Linked DNA regions of Coturnix japonica. The protein of the gene in region 2 interacts with the protein of the main gene of each other region in a biochemical or structural test. Links are inferred from orthologs where the notes say so. Each region holds a gene or a part of one and is shown on either strand. Other genes may lie near its edges.

Region 1 (6,322 bases), on a different chromosome or scaffold from region 2:
GTGTTGATTTTCATGCTTAATTTCATCTAAAGTAAAGTAGAACTTGTGGCATCTGTGTCTGCCTCTTACCTTCCAGGTATCCCAGGAGTCTGAAAAGTAATACAGCGCTGCTTCCTCTTGCATGCAATGTAGCACGCAGAGAAACCATCTATTTGCATAATACCCGGATAAGAATTACTTAGCAGTGTTTGAGGGAAGCAGAAACTTTTCATGTGAGAAAACTCACCTATTTGTGCTGAGCATTTTGAGGTCAGAGGTGAGCGAAAGCCTCATGCAGACAGAAGCTGTCACGCTGTTGTGGTTGGGCTTTTGTGTGCTGTGCTTTGGAAACCAGGCAGCTTCTACCGCCAGGCCCCAGGGAACCACCAGGAACAGCTGGGTGCTTTCAGTCTTGTTTTCGGGGCTGACATACGCTGGAAGGTGGAGCAGAGCCTTGTTTGAGCGCTCAGGAAACAACAGGCGACTTTGGTGCCTTTCCTACACCTTTGTCTTAGGCCTGCTGAGCCTCACCTACTGTTTTGATTTTGGCAGCAGATAGCCCTTACAAAATAACAACTTCAATACATTTTTCTTCTTGGTTTCTATCACCTGCATTGCCAGCTACGTTTGGCTGCTTGAAGTTACTTTAACAGGGATGGATGTTGGAGAGCCAGTGTGAAAGGAGCAGAATGCACAGCAGATGCTTTTTGCCATGGCTTACAGCTGTGTGATGGCATGGGAGACACTTCAGACAGTACCGCCAGCTTTAAAGCTGGCGTGTTCCGTACCATCCTGAATACCTGATAATGGCCATTAAAAAATAAATATTCTAAGCCTCACTGTGCTATTTTCAATGTAAGTATTCCACATTGCAATTTCCAAGAACCTCTCATGTATATTGTTATAATTACTCTTGGGAAGCAGGCACAGCCTCATAGCTGAAGATGTGGTGGCTGTGGAGGTCCCCATCTCAATTCCATCTCTGCCCATGCATGGCAGCAGCGATGCCCTTGCAGTGCTGGAAGCTCCCAAAGCACAGAGCAGCGGTCCCAACACCGTGCGTATGGCACAGGTTGGAGACGCAGAGCTCGGTGGCTGTGCAGATGGACCTGAGATGAGCTCCCAGCTCAGGTGGGCACTGCAAGAAATCTGCTGCAGGTGTGGAGGCTTCCTCGCACGCAGGGTGCTGCAGCTGCCCGCGCTGCTCTTCCCTCCCACAGCGCCAACAGCTGAGCTTCAATTGGAGGTCAGGTGAGGGCTGAGCAGCGCAGCCCCCTGCAGCACCAGCAGAATGCTGCCCTTCAGTGAACTAACAGCAGAACAACAGGCTGCTCAGTGGGGGCTCTGAGCCTCTTTGGACACACACAGGATCTGTCATTCTCTTCTAAGGATGATGAACAACACAGTAAAGAGTAAAACATTGTGTTGTTTATGAAAATACAATATGCAGTTTATTGATTTGTTGTTGCTGTTGTTGTTTATTGCCATGATTTGTCTTTTTTTTTTTTCCCCCAAGAGTCTATTTCACACACTATGTATAGAGCAGAGAAAAGTTGGTATCGCAGTATATGACCAAACAACCGCAGTTGTTTTTTTCTATAAAAGGAGGAGAATGGAGGACAGGCAAGATTCTGATCGATTCTGACAGTTCAGCAGAAGCACATTACAACTTGCAACAGAGCAGCATCAACTCTACAGAAGAAATCATGATAGCATTCCTTATTGCTGAAACAAAATGCCAATGCTACCGCAACCCATAGAATGCCTGCACCTTGCAATCCAAGATACCGTGGTGCATGTGTATGCGTATATATGCGTGTACTTGTAAACAGAGATTTTCCTTATAGCTTCTGTGTGCTTTTATGGAGAACTGGATCACTCTGTGGTTTGCCAGAAGTAGCCACGAGGCAGATTAATCCTGTTTGGTGATGCAAGGCTGCCTCATCGAGGATTTCTGATGCTCCAGCAACGTGATGGACTTCTCAGAATTCTCCAGGTTTCGGAGCAGAGTCTCTAACCTTCTTTTGATCTTCTTCTGATCCTCGATAGCGCATCCAATGACAACGGACTGAAATTTCTGATCAATGGGTCCTGCCGGCACATCAGACGTGCACGCGCCGTAAAGCGACATTAAGCGGATTTTGGCGTCTTCCAAATCATCCAGGAGCTTGTTGACGATTTCATCGATCATCTTGGTGGCGTGCAGGAGGGACTCCTGCTGCTGGGCGTTACGGATGGTTTCAACAGAAACCTCCACAGTGAGGGTTCGGCCCATCAGACGGTTGGCAGTCAGGTTAAGTTCTTCTCTCTCACCTAAAGCGAAAGCAGAAGGTATCCTGTGTTACTGACTAACACCTCCCAGTGCCTTTACATCACCAAGACAAGCAAAGTGCTACCGTGTGCCAACATGGATGTCTGTTGTTTCTTTTCTTTTTAAGAGGTGACAATCAGATTGATTTTCAGGGGCCAGAGGTTTTACATCTACGTGCCTGAGTCCCACCCATGTCACAGAGGCTGGTGTCTTCTGATCTGAAATTAGGCTGTAAGCTTTAAGAAAGGTATAAGCGATGTTTTTCCACTGCTGACACAGTGCTTGTTTTGTCACACTGCAGTAAAGCACCATATCAGGAAGCATTGATCATTACAAAAGCAGGCACGTGAGGGATGGACCCTCAATGCTGCTGTGAGAAAGAGTATAAATACACGGCACCTCGAAAGGCCACAGACAGAAGAGTTACTTTGCTTACCAGATGCAGTTAGAGGCCATTAGCAAAAAGGAAACGGGGACCCCAGAGGGAGGGAAGGCCCATCGGTATCCTCTGCCAGCTCCAGCATGGTGCCTTTAGCACTGGAGCAGCTCCCCTTGCTGGTCTGCTTTTAGGGCAGACAGGAGGGGATGGCAAAGCAGCTTCTCACCTTCACTGATGTGCCTCATGTCCTGGCTGTTCTGTATGTTGTGGATCATTTCTAGCAGGGTTTCTTTTTCTTGTTCCATAGCAGATGCTGCGTCACGGAAAGCCTCTACCCTGGGCGTAGTTAAACCAAACAAAGTCTTTCAATAATAAAACACATTTTCCCCCATAAAACTGCCAAGATCTTTCAATTAAACAAAAAAAAAAAAAAAAAAAAAAAAAAAATCAACAAAAGAGCCCCACTGCAAGTGCAGTCAGCTTGCAAGTATCTGTGCTCCAGACATTCTGACTCCATGACCCCCACCTACATAAAAACTTAATCTTTCAAGACACAAAATCATTCTAAAACTGAATACATGAGCCAATAGATAGAAAACAACCAGCTCCTTTGTAATGTGAGAAGAATGGGACAGACAGGCAAGGTGAGCATGTTTTGTTGCCTTTATGGGTAGTCCTGCCAAGCGCCTGCTTTCACGTCGCTGTGGTTTGTTTCTCTCCATAAAGATGCAGCAAACTGGCAGGAGGCTGTGACTCACAGAGGATGAAGCTCTGTTCTGGTCAGCTCCTATTTCTGGGCTTGCAGGAAAGCACGCAGTTGAGCTATCCTGAAATCAGACCCTTTCCCTGCACAACTCACTGTGCTGAACCTGACACGTGGCACACTGCTGCCAAGGGGTCAGGCACGGGGCAACACTGTGCCATGAGCTGTTCAGCCAGAGAGCTGCCCAGCTGTGTGCTGCTGCGTTGCCACTCTTCACCCACAACCCATGGCTTCTTCCCTGCCACGGCTTTTAGGAGAGGGCTTTTGCTCAGAGCAGTGTCACCTAGAGCAGCACAAGGGGAACAGCTGCCTAGGAGAGAAGGGGCAGGAGGGGCACCTTCCTGACTGCGCCTGCTGGGTGCTTGGAGAGATCCCAAGTCCAAGCAAAGCATCACATGAACCTGGCCAATGGCTTGGGATGCTTTCAACACAGCTCAGAGACCTTGATGCTGCAAACAGGCAGGGAATGCACCCGGCCTGGTATATTCATTAAGTCTGTCCAGAAAGCGAAAGCAAACCGAAGCACTGCTAACTCTCCAGTTCATTCTTCTTCCTTGCTTTATAGTGCTCTTCCGTGGTGGTGCTGGGAAAAGGGAGAAGGCAGGTGGGGCCAGGAACTCAGGGCCTTCAGTACCCACACGCCTCACGCACGCTGAGCTCAAGGAATGGCTCTGTTTGACGAAATCTTTAGGCTGAGTTCCCCAGTGAAACCACACGCTTCAGGCCCTCCCTTTCATGTTAATGTGAGGAGGAATGGGAAAAGTTAATGCAATGCAAATTCTTGCCAGGAGCAAATATTCTTAATTGTTATTTTGGATGGGTTAGTAAGAGTAATAAGGGCAGGTGGAGCCACTTCATACTTCAGATGTCAGCACTTTATAATTTAGGAAGTCTAGCAGAATTTTCATACGTGCCTCGCCGTGCCTTTAAAAAAAACCAGCACTGTCACCATTTGGAAAGTCCATTTTGGTCCCCAGAAAGCTGAAACAAGTGCAAAATTTCACTTTTAACAGCATTTTTACATCAACTCAAGTCTGGCACTGCCCTGACTCAAAAGCAAAGGTCTGCCCTCAGTGCGCAGGTTGACCCGTGGCTCTTACCAGCTCTGCGTCCAAGATCAAGCTACCAGTTCATGGCCTACAAAGCCAGACTGTCAGAGACAACGACTGTGTACCAAAAACAATGACCAATCACACCTTTGATTGACATAAGTTTATAACTAAATCAGCTGTGACAAACCTGCAGGGCGCCCAGCACTTGATCCCCAGCTGGCTCCCTGCACCACTGCTGAGGAAATGACAGAATGGCCCAGGTTGGAGGGGACTTCAAGGATCATGAAGCTCCATCCCCCCACCACAGGCAGGGCCACCAACCTCCCCATTTAACACTACAACAGGCTGCCCAGGGCTCCATCCAACCTGGCCCTGAACACCTCCAGGGATGGGGCATCCACAACCTCTCTGGGCAGCCTGTTCCAGCTCCTCACCACTCTCATAGTAAAGAACTTCCCCCGGACAGCCAGCCTAAATCTATCCTCCTTCAACTTAAAGCCATTTCCCCTTGTCCTGCAGTTATCTGCCCTTTCAAAGAGTTGACTCCCCTCCTGTTTATAGGCTCCACCCAGCAGCACCAGAGGGCCAGACCATGAGAACCTGTGAGCTTTCACTCAGAAACACGCAGGGCTGGGTTCTGGAGTTCAGTCATCAGCCTGAGAAATGCACTCAGAGGGCAGGAGAAAAGGGCTGAGAAGGGCATGGCTGTAGCTATGGGGAGCTGGACCACAAGCAGGGCAGGACTTGTGATTCTGTGACTTCTTCAGGAACCCGCAGACTGGGTAGAAGGAAACAAACAGCACTGTATTGGTCTATGCAGGAAGAGAGAGAGACAGGTAGGGGAACGTGCTGAGGAGATGCAGGCAGGCTTTGTCAAGGTAACAGTGTGGGTTCCTACCACTAGGTATTTCAGTGACTGACTGACTTTAAAAAAAAAAAAAGAGAAGGAAGAGAAGGGAAGAAAATAAATCGCCATGCGTGAATACAATCTGAACTGGCGATATATAGCCTCTGTCCACAGAGAAGGGGGCCTGGAAAGGTCACAAGTGGGTATCAGATTGACAGACAGGATTACACACCCAGTCACGCCAGCGGCCATTTCTGTGGGCTCCTGACTGCCCCTCCCCAGCTTGCTCTGCTGGCAGCGAGGGCACAGTGCCTAAGGCAGACCCGACTCTGGCAGCTTCCTCTCCTTGTAGAAGGCTGTCAGGTCTGTGCCTTACTGTGGTGAGTGCAGCAGTATGGGCTTCTTTCTGCTGGGTGAAAATATCCAATGACATCCTTATGGATGGAGTTTATCTGTTGCTTTCAGCATTAGTTTAATATTCCGCGGATCGTCTGAGCCTAAAAGAACCATTCTTCACTCCTGACTTGCCTTGGTCTGAGAGCGATGAGAGGTGCCATGCCGTTCTTCTCTGCATGCCATGGACATGAGCAGAGCATTCCCTGGAGGAACAGGTGGGCCGACCCACGCTTTGTTCCACCAGCAGAAACGTGATATCCGCTTTCCTGGGACAGCTGCAATAACGCATTAACCAGGGGCTTGCAGAAATAGCTCACTGCAGCTCGCCCGCTGGAGATGAATTTCCAGAAGGATGCAGAAACACTCAGTGAGGCCTCAGCGCTTTTTCCTGAAACACAGCTCAGCCAAAGTGCCGAGGCCAAGTGGGACCCTTCAGCCCGCTGTCCTCAGCTGCTCCTGCTGGGCTGGGGCTTGGAGTAATGAGCAGTGAGGAAAGGGCTGAGAAGAGGACAAAAGGTACAAGAAGTTATAAAGGGAAAGAAAGGAAACAAAAGCAGGAGTCTGTGTTTGTGCCTGTGCATCGTTAGACCTGGAA
Region 2 (6,312 bases):
ACATGGAGGGCAGTGAGTGCCTTCAGCTGCTGCTTCGCCGCTGTCGTGAGGCCAAAGATTGTGCCTACTGCCCCTACAGCCGCTTCCCTGTGGGTGCCGCGTTGCTCACCGCCAATGGGGAGATCTTCTCCGGTGAGATATTGCTTTGGGGTTGTGGGGTAATGGTCTATTTGGGTTCCGGGGGGTCACTTTGGGATGGTGCCCCCCACTATGGGTTCTGGGGTGTTGGCTGTTTTGGGTTTGGCTTGAGCCCTGTGGGGTTTTGGGGTGGTGGAGCCTTTGGGTTTGGAGTGATTCCCTTGGGGTTTAGGGTGGCATTCGCTTTGATAATCTCTTTTATGTTTTTCTGGGGGGCTTTTAGTGCCTCCTTTGGGCTTTGGGGTGGTTCCCCCAGTGATTTTGGGGCAAACACTTTGTGTTTTGGTGGTCCCCCTATGATTTTGAGGCAGTTCCTTTGGGTTTTTGTGTGGTTCTCCCTTTGGGTTTTGGGCAATCCCTTTTGTTTTTGGAGCGTTGCACCTTTAGGTTTTCAGATGGTTCCCTCTTTGCTTTCTGGGGTGGTTCCTCCTTTGCTTTTTGGGTTGGTCCCCTCTTTGCTTTTGGGTTGGTCTGTTTGGGTGTTGGGGTGGTGCTCCCTTTGGGCATTGGGTGATTCCTTTGGCTTTTGGAGTGTTTCACCCTTTAGGTTTTGAGGTGGTTCCCCCTTTTCTTCTGGGGCAATCCCTTTACTGTTTGGGTGTTCCCTTTGCTTTACGGGGCAGTGTCCCCTTTGACTTTTATGCAATCCCTTTGCTTCTTGGCATGCTTCCCTCTTTGCTTTTTAGTCAATCCCTTTCCTTTTTGGAATGCTTCCCTTTTGCTTTATGGGGTGGTGAGTGATGCTGGTGCTTCCCTATAGGATGCAACGTAGAGAATGCCTGCTACAGCCTTGGGATGTGCGCTGAGCGTGCAGCCATCCTAAAAGCCATCTCCGAAGGGCACACACGCTTCAAGGCCATGGCCATTGCCAGGTGAGGCCATTGGCACCCATGGCACCACATCACTCTATGGGTTTTAGGGTGATGCCCCATTTGGGTTTTGTTCAATCTCTTTGGGGTTTTGGCGTAGTGCTCCCTTTTGGGGTGCTGCCCACTTTGGGTTTTGGCTGATCGCTTTGTTCAATGGGGTGGTTCTCCCTTTGAGTTTTGGGCAGTCCCATTGGGTTTTGGGGAATCCCTTTGGGTTTTGGAGTGTTCCGCCCTTTGGATTATTGGCTATTCCTTTGGGCTTTGGGGAGGTACCCCCTTTGAGTTTGGGGTGATCCCTTTGCTTATTGGGATGGTTCTCCCTCTAATTCTGAGGCAATCTCTTTGGTTTGGGGGGTGATTCCCCCTTTGATTTTAGGGCATCCCCTTTGGGCTTTGTGGTGGTGCCCCCTTTGGGTTTTGGGTAATACCCTTTGGGGAGGTGCCCTATTTAGGTTCTGGGTGATTTCATTGGGTTTTGGGTGATCCCTTTCTTTTCCAGTGTGGTTCCACCTTTAGTTTTGGAGCGATCCCTTTGGGTCTGGGGGAATCTCTTTGGGTTTCTATGTCTGATTCCCTTTGGCTTTTGGGATGGAGTGATACTGAACCTGGTGTGGCTCTTTTGCTTTGGCAGTAACATGTCAGACTTCATCACGCCATGCGGGGCCTGCAGACAGGTGATGAGAGAGGTGAGTGGAGCCCCTGCCATGCTGGGGGCATGGAGGGCCACAAGGAGCTGCAGGCCACCATGGATGGGGGCCACCCCTCCATCTCTGGGCTGAACAAACTAAGGGAGCCCAGCAGTTGAGCTGAGCTGTGGGTGCTGCAGCATGGATTCCCTATTGACCCTCTCTCCTGCTTTTCTCCTTGTAGTTTGGCACAGACTGGGACATCTACCTGACCAAACCTGATGGCACCTACATTGTGAAGACACTACGGGAGCTCCTGCCACTCTCCTTTGGCCCCGAGGACCTGCAGAAGGCATGAACTGCACACCTGCATTTCCCTTTCAGCACCTTGGATCACTCCCCCTCTATGCAATTGACTCCATTGGGGACAATGGAGTTTGCTCCATGGGTGTTGCTTGGATCCAATGCAGCCCAACAGGGGATAAAAAGCAATATCAGCTCCAGTTCCCAGCATTATCCAGCAGCCATTTGTGCACTGTGTTCACCGTGCAGCCAATGTGATGCCACAGCTCCTTTTTTTAGCCTATTTTTCTCCTTTCTCTCTATATTTTTGCTTGCTTTCGTGAGGACAAAGAGCAATTCCTTGACAATGAAACAGCAATGGAACAAAACCCAATGACGTGTTACTTTAACGAGGCATGCTGTGCTCTGTGCCCTGTTGGACCATGCCCTGCGTGCTCAGTGCTGTGTGCACTATGCCCTCCATGCACTCACTGCACTCCATGCACCAATGCATGCTGCACCAATGCAACCTGCAGCAGCACCTTAAGCCCTCACCTTGCGCATGCGCATTGCGCATTACGCGCTTCCTCGTAGCCACGCCCCCTTCCTCATAGCCACGCCCCCTCCCCATAACCACGCCCACTTTCCCTGTAGCCCCGCCCCTTCCGCTTCCGCCTTCTTCCCGCCTCTTCCTGAGGCGCTCGGTGGCCGCCATGTTGTTTCGGGTGCTGTTATCCCGGGCCTACCGCCTGCTGCCCGGCCGCCGCCCCCTCCCCATCCCCGTCCCCCCTCCTGTCCCCTCAGCCGTTCCTCCATCTTCCCTCTTTTCCCGGCTGCCATTCGGCCGCTTCTTCTCCTTCAGACGCCCGGCTGGCCTAGCGGCAATGGCGGTGCGGAGGGTCCGGGCCGGGCCTTGTATGGCGTTGGCGTTGGGGCTGGCGCTGTTGGAGCCGCCGTTGGAGGAACAACGAAGAGCGAGGGCGGCGTGTGGCCGGATCCAGGTGTGGGGCTACGGGGAGGGGTTGGACGTGATGAGCTTAGTGGCCTTTTCCAGCCTTAGGGGGGTTCTGTTGTCCCCATGGTTACAGCCTGAATGGCAGCCTCTGGCTGCGGCTTTCGGTCTGTCTTTGTGTGTGGAATCGCTGTATTATTGGGTTGGAAGGGATCTCGGAGCCCATTCAGTACCAACCCGTGCTTTAGGCTGGTTGAAAATAAGGCCATTTTGCACTTAACAGTCACTTGGGCTTTCCTGGTTGATTAAAAGGCATTTTGCTCTTTCCAAGCACTCCAGCTTTCCTTTATTGTGCAGTCTTTGCAGAATCACAGAATGACCCGTGTTGGAAGGGACCTCAAGGATCACGTAGTTCCAACCCCCCTGCCTGGCAGGGCTACCAAACATACACCTTTACTAGATCAGGTTGCCCAGGGCCCCGTCCAACCTGGCCCTGAACACCCCCAAGGACGGGGCATCCACAACCTCCCTGGGCAGCCCGTTCCAGGGCCTAACCACTCTGCTAGTAAACAACTTTCCCCCTAACATCCAACCTAAATCTTCCCTCTTTCAACTTAAAACCATTTCCCTGTGTCCTGCTATTGTCAGCCCTTTTGAAGAGTTTACTCCCCTCCTGGGAGTAAGTTCCCTTCAGGTATTGAAAGGCTGCAGTGAGGTCACCCCGCAACCTTCTCTTCTCCAGGCTGAACAAACCCAACTCCCTCAGCCTGTCAATAAACTGAATAGTCTTGAATAAACTGAATGCTTTTCTCATTCCACTTTTCCTTCGTTTTTCCTTTCAGACGGTGTTTGTTGGGAAGAACAAGGCGCAGAAAGATCCGCTGAGCTCTTTGCGATGGCGGGGCTTTAAGCTGGAGGATTATCTCATCGGGCAGCCCCTTGGGAAGGGCTGCAATGCTGCTGTCTATGAAGCAACTATTCCTTCATCCCTCCATCGCCAGGGGAGCACACAGAGCTCAGCTCTGCCTGTGTCTGAAAAGGAGCCGGCAGATAAAAGCCAACAGCAAGCTGCCTTCCCCCTGGCTATCAAAATGATGTGGAACATCTCGGTAAGGAGTCAGCTCTTAACATCCTCCTTGTGTGTCTGGATATGCCCAGAGTTAGGTTACACAGGGCAACCTGATGTGGTGAGGGGCCACCCAGCCTACATAATGTCTTGGAACTGGATGATCTTTAAGGTCCTCTCCAGTCTAAGCCATTCGATAAGGACAAGACATTGAATGCCTGTTGTTAGTGACAAGTCACACAGCCAGTCATTATTCCTGTGGAGCTGACAGCACGTTGCTGTTGCAGGCTGACTCTTCAAGTGAAGGCATCCTGCGCAATATGCACCGAGAGCTCGTTCCAGCCACACAGACTGCTTTAGCTGGGGAATATGGAGCCATCTCCCATCGCAGGTACAGTATCCATCGCAATGACAGCTGTTCTCAGGGTATTATGTGCTAATTTGATCCAGCTTGATCCATCGGTTTCGTTCTGCAGCACGTCTGTGCTGTACAGAATGCAGCTGGAGGTTTCTGTGATATCTTATGGGAAGAACTGAGCATGAATCCTTGGGATTATTCCATGTGTGTGTGTGCCTTAGCTAAATGGCACTGCCTTTGTTGGTGCTGTATGCCTCAGTTGCCATGCAAGAGCACGCTTCTGCCTATCCTAGTGACTTCCCTCTAGTGAGGGAACAGCGTAGCAGTGGTGCTGTTCAAATAGTAATTTAAAAGTCTTGTTTGCTTTGAGGAGCACTTGGCATGCAGGAGATACCTGCAGCTTGGCCGTGTGCTTCCCTCCAGTGTCTTAGTCTTGAAGAGTGTTGGAAGGACATGGGATGATTAGGAACCCATCTGCTTTGGGTCTGATGGGGCACTGTGCCTCAGCTTCCCCATGTGTAAAGTATGTAAATTGCATTGCTCTCTGATAATGAGTAAGTTAACTGTTGGAAAAGCAGTGAGAACGTACTCCACAGTCCAGACTGCCTGATTTACACTTGAAATATGTCTCAGTTGACAGTATAGATGAATAACAAATGCTGCTTGGTGTGTTGTTACCCTGGGAATGCAATGAAGCCAAAGGACTATCTGATGTTCAGAGAGGAGAGCTCTGTTTTGCAGTTGCATAGTCAGTAACCTGAATGCTTCCTGTCTGTGCTAGTAAATACGAGGTCTAAGGTGATATGTGGCAGTGTGAATCTGGCCTTTATTTTCAGTCTAAAAGGACAGGGTTAGTAGAAAATGAAAGGCTGCATGTTGAGTGTGAGTGTTTCTGCTTATCCATCACACTGCAGGAAATCCAGTCACAAGGTGACAGCAGAACAGACATATTTATCTGCTGCTTTGGAACCCTTTGGTGGAGGGGATGTACCATAGTAATGAAAAATAACCCTGGAGGTCATAGAGATCAGTGTAACTTATGTCTGTATCTTTACACAGAGAACCTGTCCTTGGGAGGAAGAGATTGAGACCTCATCCAAATATAATCCAGGTGATCCGAGCTTTCACATCCTCTGTCCCGTTGCTGCCTGGAGCCCTCACAGACTATCCTGATGTTCTTCCAGTGAGCCTGAATCCCAGAGGGATCGGTCGCAGCCACACACTCTTCTTAGTGATGAAAAAGTAGGTGGGGAGAAGCTTGTTGGGGGCTGGAACTTTGTGGGGTTGCCCAGCAGAGCTGTGTGTTCTGCTGCATGGGTCCTGCTAGAGATTTGGCCTGGGTTGTTGCCAGAAGTCAGAGTACACTCTTGGAAACGTGGCTTCTGAGAGCTGTTGAGATCCTTGAGATTTTAGCTCTTGTTCAACAATAAAGGCAAGCTGTCTGTGCTTGTGACTCAGAAATTGAAAGGCATGGCAAAGTTCAGGAGGAATTTGGCACTTCTAAGTGCAGTGTATCCCCAGCCAGACAGCACTGAAGTCAAATGGGAAAGGAAAGGCTTCTGGGATGCTAATTCAGGTATCATCTGTGTTCTGACCAGCTATCCGTGCACCCTGTGCCAGTATTTGAAGGACAACAGCCCAGATACCCGACTGTCCACCATGATGATTTTGCAGTTGTTGGAAGCCGTGGATCATCTCGTTCGACACGGGATAGCACACAGAGACCTGAAGTCTGACAACATCCTGGTTGAGTTTGATTCTGGTATGTAGATCACTGGGTGTAAGGCTGTGTCTGTGGACATAGAAGGTTGTGCTGTAACCTGAGGGAGAGGTGCAGGATGTGCTGCACAAGCAAAGCAAGTGTTGGCTTGAAGGCATACAGGACTGCCATGCTCGCATTGCTGGCATTAGGCTGTGTCATTCCTCACTGGCCAGACAGCACAAAGCAGTTCTTAAAATGCTGCTGTATCCTGCCATGGCTCCACATCTGTTGAAAGGCAGGGAACTGACAGAGTATTCAA

What was found.
Region 1: the proteins of PINK1 (region 2) and BAG2 form a complex in vitro, tested with the Homo sapiens proteins (2 studies listed by BioGRID). The link is inferred for Coturnix japonica from reciprocal best matches to the Homo sapiens genes PINK1 and BAG2.

Annotation. Positions count from the first base shown.
Region 1 is NC_029518.1:79,191,771-79,198,092, forward strand, and holds the end of BAG2 (BAG family molecular chaperone regulator 2), read right to left. Parts: intron 3,006-6,322; coding exon 2,896-3,005; intron 2,293-2,895; coding exon 1,892-2,292; 3' UTR 1,386-1,891; downstream 1-1,385. UniProt on the Homo sapiens protein: Co-chaperone for HSP70 and HSC70 chaperone proteins. Acts as a nucleotide-exchange factor (NEF) promoting the release of ADP from the HSP70 and HSC70 proteins thereby triggering client/substrate protein release.
Region 2 is NC_029536.1:4,264,186-4,270,497, forward strand, and holds the start of PINK1 (serine/threonine-protein kinase PINK1, mitochondrial), read left to right. Parts: upstream 1-2,063; coding exon 2,064-2,081; exon of another isoform or gene 2,082-2,325; intron 2,326-2,529; coding exon 2,530-2,916; intron 2,917-3,709; coding exon 3,710-3,976; intron 3,977-4,220; coding exon 4,221-4,324; intron 4,325-5,350; coding exon 5,351-5,533; intron 5,534-5,889; coding exon 5,890-6,053; intron 6,054-6,312. UniProt on the Homo sapiens protein: Serine/threonine-protein kinase which acts as a sensor of mitochondrial damage and protects against mitochondrial dysfunction during cellular stress.